Linked DNA regions of Sus scrofa. Each later gene encodes a partner of the first gene's protein in a complex. Links are inferred from orthologs where the notes say so. Each region holds a gene or a part of one and is shown in the gene's direction. Other genes may lie near its edges.

Region 1 (4,070 bases):
ATCAGGGGTCCCTGCTGTCCACAGGGCTCCTCACTGTTGAACCTCACCCTGATCTCCATTTCCCTGAAGATGGATTATCTGCCTCAATTACTGGGAATCCTGCAGGTGACATTTGTCTCTTTCCCCCTGTGTATTTATTTATTTAACTGTTTATATCAGTACAGACGCCTGGACATTCGCTTTCTTGTTTGGGTTACAACACAATATCCTTTCATTTTGTTGCTCAGATTGTTCCAGGTTTGGATACTGGGAGCTCTTTCAGTGATTCCTGTCTCACTGAGGCGGGGTATTTATTTATTTGAGCACCGGGCTCCTCTGCATATTTGTGCTGCCTTCTAGAACCAGGCATTTCGCCCAGGAGCCCAGTTCCTTTCACTGGGGCAACGTTTAGAAACCAAGAACTGGGTGCTAAGTGTGCTGAGTTCCATTTTAACAGGCATTTTAAAAAGTTTTAAACACAGATGCTAAATAATGGAAATCCAAATGGCTCAGAGGACATCAGGAGATACTGGATTAACCAGCTTGGAGGCTCCCACCTGTGAAGGGGACCGAATTTCTGGTGCCTGGAGGCCAGTCTGGACTTCAGGGCGCGGGTGTGGTGGCTCTAGGGGACTCCACAGGCCTCCTGCACTGACACACAGACTCGGTCCTGCGGCTGCCCCTAGCTGGCTGTTTTCTTCCCACTCCGATTCCCTGAGCCCGGCCCCCATACCTTTGCCCAGGCGCTAACTGCAGCCCAGTACACCTTCCCCGAAATATCAGGAGGTCTTCCTAGAAAAGACTTTCCCAACTGGGGAGAGCCCGACAGAAAAAGAACCAGCTTTTGATAGCGGGAGACGAGTGAATCCAGAGAAGCCCACGACTGGTTAAGCCGTCTTGCTTACGGGGAAAAGAAGCAAGGAAAAGCAAAATATGGAACGCTTCACGAATTTGCGTGTCATCCTTGCGCAGGGGCCATGCTAATCTTCTCTGTATCGTTCCAATTTTAGTATATGTGCTGCCGAAGCGAGCACGACACCGGGGTTAACCCGACCGCTATTTATAGGGCGGAGTATAAAATACTTTACGCTAAGGGTGAATTCCGTTTAGAAGAAAAATACTCAGTAACTTGTCTCTTCTTTTCTGATATCAGTGCAACAATAGCTTAACAGAATGAGGCTACTCACTGAAGTTGAGAAAGTGTTCTTTCACGAAATATAATTCGGGTGGCTGTTGGGAAACTATCAATGTATGTATGCAAATTATATCGGTAGTGGGGCGGGGCCGGAGCCGCTGCTGTCCCAGAAGTCTCCGGGAAACGGCCGCGCTACGTGGGCGACTCGTTGATCCGGGGAAGATGGCGGTGCCGTAGCCGCGCCGATAGGTGGAGTGCAGGCCGTGGCCGTCCGCTCGGCTGGGAGAACAGGCCGTCCCGGTGAGCGGGGACTGGGGACTTGGGCGTTGGGCCGGCCTCAGGACGGTGCCTACGGCCGCGGCGGCGACTAGCGGGCCGGGGGCGGGGCCTGTAGGGTTAGAGGGCGGGCCTGGAGAGCAAGGGGTGCTGGGTACGCGCCCGGGAGCACGTTGGGCGGGGGGGGGGGGTCGCGACGGAAACTTGGGGGAAAGTCTGAGGCGTCTGGGAATCCGGGCACTCCGAGCTGGGGAAAATCGGGGCTGGGCCTGGAACCTGATCAGGGGTTGGGAGGTCTAAGGCTGTATTTTCCTGGGGAGGGGCCTGGGGATTCTGGTGGGCTGGAAGGCGGCCACTGGAGACCAGCACCTGGCTATTGGGTAGTGGTCCCTGGGGTGGAGCCTGAAGTGGCAAAAAGAGGCGGGACTTGGAGGGTTGGGAATTTGGAGGTGGTTATAGGGAGGCGAGTTGTTTGGGAGACCCTGGGGAGAGAACAAATTTAAGCTATCCCTGGGAACACAAGGGGCAAATTGGGACTGGGGTCTGGAAAGCAAATATTGTAGGGGGCGGGGCTGGAGAGCTTTGAGGGCAGAGCTTAAAGACTGCTGAAGGGGCCTCTGGGCAGGGCCTTGGGGTTCCTGGCCAAGGCTTGAGGAAGCGGGAGGCCTGGGGGAAGTGATTGAGAAAGATGGGTTGGTCATACAGTCTCATTGGGTTCTGGTAACGGTGAAAATAACCGTAATCAATGCCCGGCACATAGACAGCAGGTGGAAATGTTCATTGTTTCCGTTGCGGTTGTTACCTTTGAAGTGCTGCACCAAGCTGCTGCCTGCCCCCCATCCTGCCTCCTTGCCTCTGCCAAAGGCTTCTCTAAGGATAGAGCAGTCCCACCTCTCCTCACTGCTTCATGGTCCCCATCATTGTTCACCTGGACTGGCATGGTCACCCCCACCCTGTCCCTAAGCCTTTCTCTCCAGACAGCCAGAGGGGTGTGTGAAACATAAGAAGGTCTCAGCTCCCCTGGGGCTCCCACCTCACTCAGGGTGAAAGCGCAGGCCCTGCATGACCCACCCCACCCTCACTTTACCCCTCCCTTCCTCTCACTCAGTTCCAGCAACATGGGCCCCCTGCCGCTCCTTGATGACCCTGGGCTTGGTCCAGCTTCTGGGCCTTTGCACTGGCTGTTCCCCCTGCCTGGGATATCCTTCCTCCAGGCTGCATTCCTGGATCCCTCACTTCTACGCTGGGAGGCCTCCCTGGCCATCCATGTGTCAGATATAGCTCCCCTGACATACACAGAGCAGGGATTGAGTCTTTGGGTCCCTGCAGTGACCCACCATCCAGCACTGCGCTCTGGGCCCTGAGGCCCTGCATGAACGTCTGTGACAAACTGGTCCTCCCTCCCTCAGAAGCTGGTGACCGCCCTCTGTGTATGACCTTGGCAGCCGGGCACCATGGACCTGGCGTACGTCTGTGAGTGGGAGAAATGGCCCAAGAGCACGCACTGCCCTTCGGTGCCCCTGGCCTGTGCCTGGTCCTGCCGCAACCTCATCGCCTTTACCACGGATCTCCGAAACGACGACCAGGGTGCGCCCCCTCCTGCCCCCCGCATGGGCTCGTGCCCCAGTGCCCATGGACCTCCAGGCCTGTCCAGTCTCTCAGGGTTCCCTCATGTGTGATGAGGGGTGGTGAGGGCCCAGAGGGCACCTGGCACCAGGGGGCACTGGAATCACCCCCAGGGGATGGACCTGTCCAGATGAGGGTGGTCCCCAGCCCCTGCTGAGGCTCCTGCCTGAGTTTTCCAGACCTTATATGTCACTGCTTGGCTTCTGAAAGCCTCTGAGCTGCAGCCTGCCTGCTGGGCCTGTGTTCTCGCTATTGTTGAATGACACATGCTCCTAGAGGAAAGGAGAAAAACACAGACATTTTGGATGAGGGGAAGAAAAAAAGGCATTACCTTCCCCAGAGAGCCACTCTCTGTTAGCATTTTGGGTTTGTTTTTTTCCAGTTCCATTTTCTATGTCTCTTTTGAAAGTGGTTGTAGCCTCTCTGGAGGCAGAGTCATGGACCTGCTCCCATTACCCCTGGGGTCATCAGGCACTCGAGGCCCTGCCATTGTTGCCGCTGACCTGGCCCTCCTTTGCAGACCTGACCCGCATGATCCACATCCTGGATACGGAGCACCCCTGGGACGTGCACTCCATCAACTCGGAGCACAGCGAGGCCATCACCTGCCTCGAGTGGGACCAGTCAGGTGAGGGTGGGGCTCACCCTTGATCTCAAATCCCAAGCTTACTTGTTCTGTCTTTTCCTGGTCATGTCCCCACTGTCCAGAACTAGGATGAAAGCCCTGGCCTTGTGGCTTTTCGGCTCCTTCTCCTCCCATTTTTGGTGACCAGAGTCGTTCCTGGGAGACATGTGTGCCATGCCCCTGCTTGTCTCCCATCCCAGGCCCCAGATGTACTGGGGGGGGTGCTTTGTGACACAGGCTTGCCCCCCTCTTCCCCTGCAGGCTCCCGGCTGCTGTCGGCCGATGCTGATGGGCAGATCAAGTGCTGGACCATGGCAGACCACCTGGCCAACAGCTGGGAGAGCCCAGTGGGCAGCCTGGTGGAGGGGGACCCCATCGTGGCCTTGTCCTGGCTGCACAATGGTGTGAAGCTGGCCCTGCACGTGGAAA
Region 2 (4,231 bases), on another chromosome or scaffold:
GAACCTCCATATGCCACAGGTGCGGTCCTAAAAAGCAAAAAAAAAAAAAAACAAAAAACAGAGACAATAGTGCAACCTTGGGGCAGGTCCAGATTCCTCCTCAAGGAATATACATAGTATCTTTGAGCCCTTCTGCAGAACTATTACTTGATGAAGTATGAAGCATTCTTCAGTGGAAAAAAGGAGGACCACCAGAACCAGTCCTGGGGCCACTAAACAGGAGCGTGAGAAACCGTGCAAGTTTGCCTCGACCCTGGTCCTTAACTGCGGCTCTATTTTCCACTCTTACACTGTAAAACCATCTCCTAATCTCTCTCAAGGGGACCATAGTCTTTAGGGCACTAACCTGCTCTGGCCCTCCTTTGGCAGAGCAATAGAGATATCTTTTTCTTCTTCACCCAAAACCCTGTCTCTGTGCTTCAACTGGGCATCGGAGGACAGAGACAGAGTTTTGGCAACACTACCTGCCTCATATCCTAGCTCCCCTCCTCGCACCGGTTTCCTCCGTGCTACCTGAGATTCTGTCTCCCGGGCCTAGGTCCTAATTTTGCTCCAAATAAAACTTAACTCTCAACTTTTAGGTGAAGGTCTCCAGCCACCCTAAATCCGGCCAGGGCTGGGTCTCCCATTCCATTACCTTTGCTAGAGTGTAATACGCCCCCCTGGGTTTTTTTTTTTTTTTTTAATTCCAAACTATTATCCTGCCGGACACTTTTCAGCCTACCACTACCAACTACCCATCCTCTTTCTCGCACCCACTCTCGCTACTCACCCAGCCGCGTGGTGCGATCTTGAGGTGCCGCCGGCCTGTCCCCGGTCCCATGCTCAGCCTCGAGCTCCTCTTGCTGCTGCCGCGCTTGTTGCAAAATCCGTCGGGTCAGCCGAGGCCCCACGTACTCCTCCTCCTCTTCTCCGGTTCCGCGACCCCGCCGCTTTTCCCGGGTCCCCGCCCGCACCGCATTCCCAGCCAGGATTTGGTCGGCCAGGGGCGCATGCTTTTCCTGACCCTCGGCCCCGCGGGCGGCCTTGAGTTTGGGCATTTCGCTAGAAAACCTCGCCGGGAAGTTTCACATGTGGGGACAGAGGAAAAGCTCTGAGTGCGCCGGCGCAGGGAACTCCCCAGAGGCCAGACGGTGATTACAGCGCCCCCTGGTGTTCGGAGGCCGGACCTGCCACCATCCCCGCCCCACCCCCTGATAGAGCTCCTGAGTCCTGGAGCTGGACTCCCGAATAAACTCATTGCAATTAACATCGCCTTCTCTAAGCAGTGGCAGTCCAAGCCACGCTTTCTTAGCTTCATGAATCTAGGCCCGGGGTGATTTGTCGAATAGGAAGTCCCCGAGCTGCAAGCCTAGGGGGCGGAGCCCTGCAGTGACGTCACTGGAGGCGCCTGTACGCCCCGTTCCTCGTGGCCGCCGAAGGGACTCGCACTTTTTACGTTATTTCCGGAGCACCTCCTACTACCGAAGCTTTCGTTAGGTCGGTGGTTTCACCTCGCGTGGGCTGCAGCAGAGCACTGCGTATCAGCTGTTCAGTACTGTCATCTTCCTGGCCTAACATCATGGGAGTGACTTGGTAGGACTTCAAGGGATTTCGTGGGGCGAAGCTTGGGGTGGTGAAGGGCCGGTGGAGCCTCCAGTGTCCCCGAGAGGAGGATCGGGATCAGGGTCTGAGAGAGATGCCCTCGAGTTGTGTGGGTGAGGGGACCACTGTGAGGGCTGCGAAATCTGCGGGCCTTTTTCCTCGGAGATGCGCCCCTTCTTTCTCAAAGGTGGCAGGTTAAAAATTTTTATCTTAAGAATCCACCAGTGGTCGCGTACCTCCTTCCGTTTTTCTTGGTATATTCTTCCTGCTCGTCATCCCACAGTACTGCCTGGGGTCGGAAATAGTATGTCGGGTTTAGGACCCATCTGCAGTCAAGGTTGGATGGGTTGTGGGGAGGGAGATAGACAACATTGAAGGCAGTATCTTTTTTAGGTTTTTGCCCTTCCCTATGGCCACTAAATGCAGTTAGACCAGCCTGTGTCTAGTTCTAATTTGGCCATTTTAAGATCTCGGGTCTAGAGGGGGAAAAAAAGAAGCTATTGGGAGTTAGGAGATTGGGATGTTAGGCACATCACCTCCTCAGAACCTGTTTCCTACTATGTTTAATTACATGCTTGGTTTAGTTTCTGTGGACTTAATATCTGTAACGTGTTATGAGTCAGAGTGCAGGGAAATATGGGCCTCATGCTCTTGGAGGCATTAGTTCCAAAATGCTAGATTTCAGGGCTTAAAAGAAAAAAAAAAAAAAAGGTATCTGGAGCATCTTTCCAATCAGAGAGGGCTAGAGGCCAGGGTATCAGGAGTCAGTGGCTATAGAGTCTTCATATAAGAAAAGAGCCTGTGGGAATTCTTCCTCCCAGTCACCCAAGTCTTGCACACTTGTCAGTGACTGCACATTTGCTTCCTGCAGTTGACATCATGAGCCTCTTTGGAAGTCTTTTAGTGTAAGGAGGATGTGAAGAATGGAGATGAAAAGTTTCCTCCGCAGAGGCATGGAATCCTGGAAGCCCCTGTTGTTTTTTTCTTTTCTTTTTTAAATTAAAATATAGTTGATTTACAACATTGTGTCAGTTTCTGCTGTGAGGCCCCTGTTGTTGTTTTTGTTTTTGTTTTTGTTTTCTTTTTTCTTTTTTTCTTTTTAGGGCTGTTCCTACAGCTTTTTTTTTTTCTTCTTCTTTTTTTCTTTTTAGGGCCGTTCCTGTGTCACATGGAAGTTCCCAGGCTAGAGGTTGAATCAGAGCTGTGGCTGCCAGCCTGTGCCACAGCAATGCCAGATCCGAGCTGCATCTGCAACCTACACTACAGCTCATGGCACCGCCAGATCCTTAACCCACTGAGCGAGGCTAGGTGATCGAACCCATATCCTCATGGATACTGGTCACATTCTTAACCCGCTGAGCCACGAGCAGAACTCCGAAGCCCCTGTTCCTTCAGTGCAGAAGGCAGACAGAGGGAAAAGGCCCTCTGTTGGGACCCTTCTCGACTTTTCAGATTCCTAGTACTTTGGACCCCAGTTGTATCATCTAAGGGATTCTCTTATTTTTCAAAATAAAGGCCATCATCATTGTGGCTTGTTAGTGCTCTTCCTGATGGAGATTACTGACAATTTGTAGCAACAGCAGGGGTCTGTTTTTATATTTTCCTTTAGTTGATCATAATTGGTCATAAAGTAATGCAGTACCTCCCAAAATTCAGCCACATAATGATTGTCTTTATGATTTTTATATAACTTCATAGCACTTGAACTATTTATTTTTTTTTAATTTTTTTTTTCTTTTTGCCATTTCTTGGGCCGCTCCCGCAGCATATGGAGGTTCCCAGGCTAGGGGTCTAATCAGATCTGTAGCCGCTGGCCTACGCCACAGCTCACGGCAACACAGGATCCTTAACCCACTGAGCAAGGGCAGGGATCGAACCCACAACCTCATGGTTCCTAGTCGGATTCGTTAACCACTGCGCCACGACAGGAACTCCTAATGCTTTCTTTTGATTCTGTTTTTTTCCTTATAAGTATTTTAACAGACAACTGTATCCTTAGGAAAGCATTCTTTTTTTTTTTTTTCCTCTTTCAGCTGCACTCGAGGCATATGGAAGTTCCCAGGCCAGGGACTGAATCTGAGTCACAGCTGTAAGCTGTGCCACAAATGTGGGAATGTCAGTTCCTTAACCCACTGCCCCAGGGCAGTATCAAACCCATGCCGTCACAGAGACAATGCTGATCCTTAACCACAGTGGGAACTTGGAAAGCTTTCGGTGGAGCATTTAAGAGCATGGACACGGAGCCACCTCACTTGACTACACTGCATTAAGCAGTATGACCTTGTGCCAGTTACTCAACCTCTCTGTTCAGTAGTTTTCTCATTTGTAATGAAGAAATGATTATGCTGTGTCTTATAGGGCTGATGCAAGTTAATTCATCTAAAGGCTTTGGGCACTGCCTGGCTCATAGTTGGTGCTTGGTAATTATTACCTACCACTTAAAGTAGAAGCCAGTTGCACTCTCCATAGAAGGAAATCTTGGAAATAACTTTTTATCTCATTGTTTTGGCTAAATTCTTGTTGCCTCTCACTCTCAAAGATTAGAAACTTGAGGCTTGCTTTCTCTTTGATCCAAGGATCCTTAGAACTTTCTTCATTGATGAAAATGTTCTATGTCACTGTCCGGTACACCAGTTCCTAGCCACTT
Region 3 (4,256 bases), on another chromosome or scaffold:
TTCTCTCCTCCTTTGCATCGAGGTCAAGCCTTGAGGGCTGGAAAAGAGCCTCCCTATGGTGGCATTCCTCTGTACTCCCATACTGGAAATGTTGGTTACTGATTGAATGCTGGAGGGAAGGTCTGCTCCCAACACAGCCCTAGTAAAGTGCCTGGGAGTTAAAAAAAAAAAAAAAAAATTTCTGGCACAAAGCAGGAGATTAGAAAGCATTTATGCAATGAATGAACGCATGCTCACAGTGCCTAGGAGTAAGGGTTCAAAAGGCATTTCTGCATTTCTTAGTGCCTGGTATTCAGTAAGCGCTCCTGGGCGAGGGTAATAAACCTTAGTGCAAGAGCTTAGCTTCCCTGTGCATGGGTGCAGGGGTTTGAATCCCATCTCCTCCTCTTCCCAGCTGTGGGCAAGTGACTTAATCTCTTTGTGCTTCAGTTTTCTCATTTGCAAAACACGGACGACAGAGTGAAACCTTGAGACACGTGGACATGCTGTCTGGCCAACAGCGAGCCCCACCACCCAGTCGCCCAGGCCGTCAGAGGCACAGGTTAGGGGCCCCAGCTCTCCGCGGCCACTGCCACAGGCATTCCGGGGGTGAGGTAGCGCCGCGTAAAGATCCTAGCACCCGAGGGGGCGGGGCGCGGCGCCCAAGCGGGGCAGCGCACAGCAGCCTGAGGCCGCTCGCCCGGCCGCTGCCAGCCCGGCAGCCGCGCCGCCCGCACTTCTTTCTCTCCCTCCCCGTCTTCCTTCTTCTCCCGGCCGGAGAATCCGATCGCACTCGGCTCAGCAGCGCCGCCCGCGAGCCCCGCCGCCGCCGCCGCCGCTCAGGGCCCCTCCCCCGTCCCCCCTCCCCGCGCGGCCGGCGCCCGTCACGTGATAGGGCGCTAGCCAATGGCGGGCCGAGCCGCGGTCGGCGGCCGCCATTGCTGTCAGAGTGAGAGAGCCCGGGGAGGGAGGAGAAGCGAGGCTGACTGGGGAGGAGGAGGGGGGGGTGGGGGAGGAAGAGGAAGGAGGGGACGTCGCTCGGCTGCCGGGGTCGCCCGCTGGCTTCGTCCGCACCCCCCCTTCGCGAGTTCGCGCTCCGCGGCTGCGGCGGCTCCGAGGCGGCGGCGGCGGCTCCGGGGCTCGCCTCCTCTCACGCGCCGGCGGGGGCCGAGGGGGAGTCGGTGGCTGGAGATAAACAAGGCGGCGGCGGCGGCGGCGGCTGAGGAACAGGGAAGGCGGAGGCGGCGGCCGGCCCGCAGCGCCGGCCCGGGAGGCAGCGGCGGCCCTGAGAGGCGGGGAGGGCGCCCGGCCGCGCGGACAGCGCCCCCCGCCGCCGCCGGAGCCGCCGCCGCCGCCGCGGGAGCAGGAAGGAGCCGCGCGGCCGCCGCGGACCCCCCCGCCGGCCCGGGCCCGCCGCCCCCGGCGCGGCGTCGCCGCGGCGCCTCCCACCCGCCCGGCGGCCCTCCCGCCCTCCCCCGGCGGCGGCGGCGGCCCGGCTGCCCCGCGCTCTCCGGCGAGGCGCTGCCGCCCGGCCCGGCCTCGCCTCGGACGCCTCGCTCCGACATGCCCCGCTCTGGCGGCCGGGCTCGCGGAGGATCATGACTGCGGCAGCGAACTGGGTGGCGAACGGGGCGAGCCTGGAGGATTGTCACTCCAACCTCTTCTCGCTGGTGAGTAGCCGGGCTGCAGGGAGGGGGCTATGCCGGGGTGGGGGGGGGTCCCCGACCTCCGCCGCCGACCTCCGCCGCAGACCAACTTTCTCCTCCCGCCGCCGGGACTTCGCCCCTCCCTCGCCTCTCCCCGCCGTTCGCCTCTCGCTGATTCTCCCCCTTTTGGATCGTCTCTCCCTCGCCTTGGATCCCATCCAGTGTTTATTTGGCTCTTTAAAAATCATTTGTGAGCGCGGCGCTCGGCGTGGAATTTGCATGTAGAAGTCTCAAAGCTGCGGATTCTGGGTCGCACTTCGAACGCCCACCCTCTGTTGCCATCGCACTCCCCTTCCCCTCCCCTTCCCCCCCTTTTTTTCCTAAATGTGGAAAGCTTTGCCTTGTGCTGCCCGCGCCTGCGATAAGCAGCCTTTTTCCCCCCTTGTCGGATGGGCTGCCCGCCCGCCCGCCTTTTGAATTTTTAAAAAATTCCATAATGACACCTGCAATTTCGCCCGAAAACAGTTGATTGAATGCGATTGTGTCAGTAAAGGACTCTTGCACCCGAAGCTCCCGCGATTGTAAACATCGACAGCCGCCTGCCTCTTGGGGCTTACTACGCTGGAGAGCCGTAAAGCCATTGCACCGAGCCGACGGAAGGTGGAGAAAGCTTTTTCTTTTTTCTCTCCTCCTGTGTTTTTTAAAAAACTGTTTTCTCTCTCCTAACACACACACACATACACACACACACAGCAGCAGCAGCAACAAGCTGGGCGGTTTGATAACATCGCTTTTATCTGCCTTCATCTCCCTCGCGCTCTCTCTCTGATAATTGACAACTTTTCCTTCGGATTTGAATCGCCTGCCTTAATCTTGAAGCAGTTAGGGTGTCAATTGTTCTCCTGGAAGCCTGGCACCCGACGACGGCGTCTAGATTCAGCGAAATTAAAAATGTATAGGGCTCCAGCAACTCTTTCCTGGCGGTGGCAGTGACATTTGGTGGTAAATGCCATCTTTGCTTTTTATTGGGTCGTATTACCTAGCTCTGAAAACATTCACGTTGTTAAACCTGGCGTTTAGGCTAATAATTGCAGTGCGTGGTCTTTAAATATGTGCTTTGTGCATGGGTTACTGTATATATAGCTATGTGCCCGGGAGACTACGAATTTGTTTAAATATTGAGCAAAGATTTGTAAACAGATGTAAGGCAATTATGTTTCAGGCGTAGAATATAATTGGAAAATTGGCTGAACGGTTTGTTTAATTTAGCCTTAAAAAAAGAAAACCCCAACTTATTTTAAGTTTTGTATCCTTTTTGGGGGGGACTGCCTTTGGAGAGCTTGCATTTTTGAAATTGTTTTCTGTAACCCCTGCTGTAGATAGGAGCATTATTTTCTCTTAATCCTTGTTTACACTGGATAAATAATTTAGTGTTCAAATTGTAATTAGTTGCATTTAATTATGGGTAGCATAGATGCTTTTTTTTTTTCTTTGAGACTAGTGGAGAAATACAGATTCTTGCCAACTTTTCAAATGGAAGCTTTATTTTTTTAAATAAATTTCATTATGCAGATAAAAAAAATCAAAACGTGATTTTTACCTGCAAAGACCCAATGACATAGTATCTTTGCTTTCACTGTAATAAGGTCAAGTCAGTTTTTTCAACATTTTTATTTAGATATTTAATCTTAAAAATCAATGATAAGTTGCGAGTCTTCTTTATACTGTGAAAATTTTCCCTTGATCTTTTGCTATGTGGAACTAAAACTCATTTTGCTGCTGCTTTGCTCCTCTCAGTCTGTCATTTAGTATTAGTCAGATGCAGGGACTTCCATAGATTAGCAAACGTATTGATTAAGGGGTATTTAAATGGTTTTTGTTTGGCGGCTGGTGACCACTTTGACACTTTAACAGGGAATTAAAATAACCGAGTAGACCAGTATTAGTGAGGAGAGATTCCAAATTACCATATATCATGCTGACTAGCAACGGCTTGTATGTATGTGGCTAATTTATATACAGTACGTTTTGTAGACAAGTCAAAGTACATGTGTAGCCTGTCTTTTGGAGATATCATTTTTTTATCTTTTTTTTTTTTTTTAAAGCTTAAGTAAGAATGATAATGTTATAGAGATAAGATGCTTAAGATTCTTTTGGAGAGGCAATTTGTATGCTTTGCTGTGCTTTATGACTGACTGAAGGTTTATGCTTTAGATTTTCTAACCTTTTTAAACCAGGAATTGATTTTTGAATATACTTTTTTTTTAAAAAAAAAACAATTACTCTTTAGGTAGCAACTTTGAAATGCAGAACTGCAGCGTTGTTTGGGTTGATTTTTTTTTTTTTTTAAAGGACTGTAGAATGTCTACATTCTATTGTATGTAGAAAGTGGATAGGTACAAATTAAAAAAATTTAGGATTCAGAGCTGTTGATAATTATAAATTTTACTCATTGCAAATTGAGAATTTTCTTGAAAATTAGATATAGCAGCAACCTAGAATATCAAAAATATTTTGCCTAAAGTACATTGTTTGGAATTGTTCATTCCAAAGGAGATAAAATCATCACCTGCTCAAAATAAAGCATGTATTATAAGAACTTGTGGTGCATAATAATAGCATACATTTTTC
Region 4 (4,285 bases), on another chromosome or scaffold:
AAAGACAAAAAAAAAAAAAAAAAGTATGATATCACTCATATGTGGAACCTGAAAAATGCAACAAACTAGTGAATGTAACAAAAAAGCAGATTCACAGATACAAAGAACCAACTAGGGGTTACACTGGGAGAAGCGAGAAGGGGGAAGGACAGTTTAGGTGTAGGAGACTATAAGATACAAACTATCACGTATAAAATGAGCTAAAAAGATATATTGTATAACATGAGGAATGTAGCCAATATTTTATAATTATGAATGGAGTATAACCTTTAGAAAATACGAACCACTATACTGTGCACCCGTAACTTATGCAATATTGTACACCAAATATACTTCAATTTAAAAAAGCAGGGGGAGTTCTTAGTGGGTTATAAACCTGACATACTAGTATCCATGAGGATTCGGGTTCCATCCCGGGCCTCACTTAGTGGGTTAAGGATCCTGTTGCAGTGGCTGTGGCTGTGGCAGGCAGCTGCAGCTCGGATTTGACCCTTAGTCTGGGAACCTCCATATGCTGAAGGTGCGGCCCTACAAAAAGCAAATAAAATTAAATTAAAAAGCAGGTAAAAAAATAGAATAGCCAATGATATGATATACCACTTAAAGAAGAGTCAAGGAAAAAAACCCTAGTCTCAGCTCTGTTATTCAGTAGCTATATAAACCAACTCCCACTCCTTGAGAATCAGCTTCCTCATCTACAAAATGGAGACAATAATAATCCCTAACACATGGGGCTTTTGTGGATTAAAAGAGATAATGTCTGAAAAGCATCTGATACTTAATAGGTGCCTCTTTCTATAGAGCAAGCGTTCTTAACCTGGAGTTCCTGAATCTTCGGAGTATATATGGATGAACTTCGTGGAGGGGTGTGTGTGTAAGAATCTCCGTGGAAAGTGTCTAACGTTTTGTATATCTCTACGTGCTTTTTTTTTTTTTTTTTTTTTCTGGGAAGAAGGGCCGTAGCTTCCACCGCATTTTAAAGGGACTTTGAATCAGAAGAGGTTAAGAACCTCAGTGCTAGACCATAGGGACCTTGAGGGATTAGAGCCGACCTTTGTGTGTGTGTGGGGGGGGGGGGGGTTAATATGTGTTTCCTTATGCATACATCGTTTCTAATCTTCACAACAGTCCCTTGAAGGAAGTGTTTGTTAGTACACCCATTTTTCAGATGCGGAACCTGAGAAATGAAGAAGCAGTTTGGAAAAGGCAGAGTTCCCAACAAACGCACAGACGATCAAGCACTTATTTATTCTAGGCCGGGAACGGAGGGAGGTGCTGGGAACGCAATTCTAACCGGAGCTCGGTGCGGTGGCCGCCTCCCGCCTCGCGGGTTCGCATCCCCAGTCCAGCACAGGGTTAGCGAATGTCGCAAAGATCTTGACTGAGTGAAGTCGATCTGCGGCCGCCGGGGCAGAAAAAGCTCCCCCGGCGCCGAGCTCCGCCCCACGCCGGGTGGGCCCCGCCCCCGTTCCCCCCCCTACCCCGCGGTCGGTATTGTCCGACGGTTCCCGGCGTCCCTCGGTTTACCTCGGTAGTTTCCGGCAATGATCGAGAGTTTCTAACGTGCCCCCTTGTTGTCTCTCGGCTGCCGTCCTCGCCTCCGCTGCCCCCCTTTTCGGCTCCCTCTCCCCCTCCCCCAGCGGCCGGGCCCGGCTGGCGCCTCTGGCGCTACGGGCTGGGCAAGATGGCGGCCTTCGGGATCTTGAGCTACGAACACCGGCCCCTGAAGCGGCCGCGGCTGGGGCCTCCGGATGTGTACCCTCAAGATCCCAAACAGAAGGAGGTACGTTCAAAAATCCGGGCTCCCCAGGGGCCGGGGGCCAGCGATCGGCAGAAGAGGAAGCACTGAAAGCTTGGCGGGGGGGGGGGGGGGCGGGGCGGTTCGCCGGGAGCGAAAGTCCCGAAAGGGGGAAGAGTAAAGTGGGCTGGCGTAGGAGAGTAGGATCTGGTGGGGGTGGGGGGTGGTTCCTGGGTGCCAGCTGGGAGTGATATCGGGGCCACGCTGGAGGCGCCCCCCTCTACACACACACACCTCAGAAAGTTGTCTGAGGCAGCTGGGTGAGCAACGGCTGCTCTGCTTCCAAGCTCGCAGGGGAAGAGTGCTGTTGAGTGAGCTCTGGGGGATTGGGAATCTTAGTGACTGTGGGGGTGAGGGTGGGGTCCAAATGAATGTTAGGGCCTAGCTTTAAATAACAATCTGTTCTACTCCGAATCCTCCTCCTCCCTTCCCCCCTCCCCATGTTCCCTTCTCTTCTGCCCTCTCCCACCACCAACCTTCCCCCCCCCCCCCGTGGCGGGGGCTAACATGTCGTTTTCCCGCTTTAGGATGAACTGACAGCCTTGAATGTAAAACAAGGTTTCAATAACCAGCCCGCTGTCTCTGGGGATGAACATGGCAGTGCCAAGAACGTCAACTTCAATCCTGCCAAGGTGAGACAACCCTGCCAAGCTGAAGGAAAAGGCTGGAAGAATTTGAGAAGGCGCAAAGGCCCTGGGTTGGGAAGACTTAAAGGGACCACCTAAATGGCTGAGTTTTCCTTCATAACCTCATGCTACCACATTGGCATTTGCCTATCAAAGGCACAACCACCTCTCTACCCCTTCTTCCCACCCTGAGGTGTAGTTTTCTTCCCTCAGATCAGTTCCAACTTCAGCAGCATTATTGCAGAGAAGTTACGTTGTAACACCCTCCCTGACACTGGTCGCAGGAAGCCCCAAGTGAACCAGAAGGACAACTTCTGGCTGGTGACTGCACGATCCCAGAGTGCCATTAACACCTGGTTCACTGACCTGGCTGGCACCAAGCCACTCACACAACTAGCCAAAAAGGTGAGATACCATTTCTTGTTCTTCAAGCCAGGGAGTGGAGTGTGGGTACCAAGCACCCTCCGATTCCCAGATTAAGCTACATGAATGCCAGCTCATGGGGGTAATGGAGGTCTCACTATTTGTGATGTCCGTCCAGGTCCCCATTTTCAGTAAGAAGGAAGAAGTGTTTGGGTACTTAGCCAAATACACAGTGCCTGTGATGCGGGCAGCCTGGCTCATTAAGATGACCTGTGCCTACTATGCAGCAATCTCGGAGAACAAGGTTAAGAAGAGAAATGTCGTTGACCCCTTCACGGGTGAGTAAGTCCTCTAACACCAGGGGTCCCACCACTGATCACTTCAAGCAGTGGTAGAGAGACCCTTGAGATTATTCTCCTTCCTCATCTATATTCCTTGCTTCTGCTTGTATCTTGCATTCACTCCATTAGTAAACATCGAGTATCTTGAGTACCTTCTCCGTGCATGTACTGGGCTATAAAGATAACCACTACTTAATCCCTGCCTTTAGGATGCTTAGAGTCTAGTAGGGATGCCAAGGCATATGTACAGATCCCGTGATTAAATATAGAACATAATGTCAAAAGTGGAGGCAAGGAGTTCCCTAGTGGTGCAGCAGGTTAAGGATCCAGCATTGTCACTGCCATGGCACAGGTTCCATCCCTGGCCGGGAAACGTCTGCATGCTGCGAGCACAGCCAAAATTTTTAAAAATATGTAAATTAATTAATAAATAAAAATATGTAAGTTAATAAAATAAACATAAAAAATGGAGGCAGAAGGTTTCTTTGAGACTCAGTGAACAGAAAGATTACTTTCTTTTGGAGACACCTGGAAAGGCTTTAGGAAGGTGGCATTTGACTAGAGCCTAAGGGGCTGAATAGGATTTAGAAGTATGGTGACTGTGGACGGGAGCAGGGGACAAGATGTTCTAAGCAGAGGGACAGTATAAAATAGCCGTTTTCCCATCTTTCCCCTAGAGTGGACTCAGATCATCACCAAGTACTTATGGGAGCAGCTGCAAAAGATGGCTGAATACTACCGGCCAGGGCCTGCCGGAAGTGGGGGCTGTGGTCCCACTGTAGGGCCCTTGCCCCATGATGTAGAGGTGGCGATCTGGCAGTGGGACTACAACGAGAAGCTGGCCATGTTCATGTTTCAGGTAGGAAGGAGAGCTTGTTATAGGGCGTGGGATTGAGCCTGATCTCACACTCTGCCAGCATAGAACAGAATCGGCCTGCCACCTTGCCCCACTTGTGTGGTTCTCTTCATCCTTTCATTTACTTTCTCTGCCTCATCTTGAATAGTCCCTAGGCAAAGCTAATCCTCTTCCCACCCCTGGTGCCCACAGGACGGAATGCTGGACAGACATGAGTTCCTGACCTGGGTACTTGAGTGCTTTGAGAAAATCCGCCCTGGAGAGGATGAATTGCTTAAACTGCTGCTGCCCCTGCTGCTTC

Evidence for each region. Proteins that work in one complex are often made in the same cells at the same time.
Region 2: MED16 (region 1) and MED20 share a complex: the UniProt entries of both Homo sapiens proteins name them as parts of the mediator complex. The link is inferred for Sus scrofa from reciprocal best matches to the Homo sapiens genes MED16 and MED20.
Region 3: MED16 (region 1) and MED13L share a complex: the UniProt entries of both Homo sapiens proteins name them as parts of the mediator complex. The link is inferred for Sus scrofa from reciprocal best matches to the Homo sapiens genes MED16 and MED13L.
Region 4: MED16 (region 1) and MED12 share a complex: the UniProt entries of both Homo sapiens proteins name them as parts of the mediator complex. The link is inferred for Sus scrofa from reciprocal best matches to the Homo sapiens genes MED16 and MED12.

The regions. Positions count from the first base shown.
Region 1 is NC_010444.4:77,489,683-77,493,752, forward strand, and holds the start of MED16 (mediator of RNA polymerase II transcription subunit 16), read left to right. Parts: upstream 1-1,270; 5' UTR 1,271-1,414; intron 1,415-2,799; 5' UTR 2,800-2,844; coding exon 2,845-2,977; intron 2,978-3,536; coding exon 3,537-3,644; intron 3,645-3,902; coding exon 3,903-4,070. UniProt on the Homo sapiens protein: Component of the Mediator complex, a coactivator involved in the regulated transcription of nearly all RNA polymerase II-dependent genes.
Region 2 is NC_010449.5:37,071,351-37,075,581, reverse strand, and holds the start of MED20 (mediator of RNA polymerase II transcription subunit 20), read left to right. Parts: upstream 1-1,431; 5' UTR 1,432-1,561; coding exon 1,562-1,575; intron 1,576-4,231. UniProt on the Homo sapiens protein: Component of the Mediator complex, a coactivator involved in the regulated transcription of nearly all RNA polymerase II-dependent genes.
Region 3 is NC_010456.5:36,062,573-36,066,828, forward strand, and holds the start of MED13L (mediator of RNA polymerase II transcription subunit 13-like), read left to right. Parts: upstream 1-1,456; 5' UTR 1,457-1,577; coding exon 1,578-1,649; intron 1,650-1,728; exon of another isoform or gene 1,729-2,285; intron 2,286-2,330; exon of another isoform or gene 2,331-2,627; intron 2,628-4,256. UniProt on the Homo sapiens protein: Component of the Mediator complex, a coactivator involved in the regulated transcription of nearly all RNA polymerase II-dependent genes.
Region 4 is NC_010461.5:57,149,399-57,153,683, forward strand, and holds the start of MED12 (mediator of RNA polymerase II transcription subunit 12), read left to right. Parts: upstream 1-1,485; 5' UTR 1,486-1,684; coding exon 1,685-1,783; exon of another isoform or gene 1,784-1,844; intron 1,845-2,325; coding exon 2,326-2,430; intron 2,431-2,637; coding exon 2,638-2,829; intron 2,830-2,965; coding exon 2,966-3,125; intron 3,126-3,805; coding exon 3,806-3,987; intron 3,988-4,176; coding exon 4,177-4,285. UniProt on the Homo sapiens protein: Component of the Mediator complex, a coactivator involved in the regulated transcription of nearly all RNA polymerase II-dependent genes.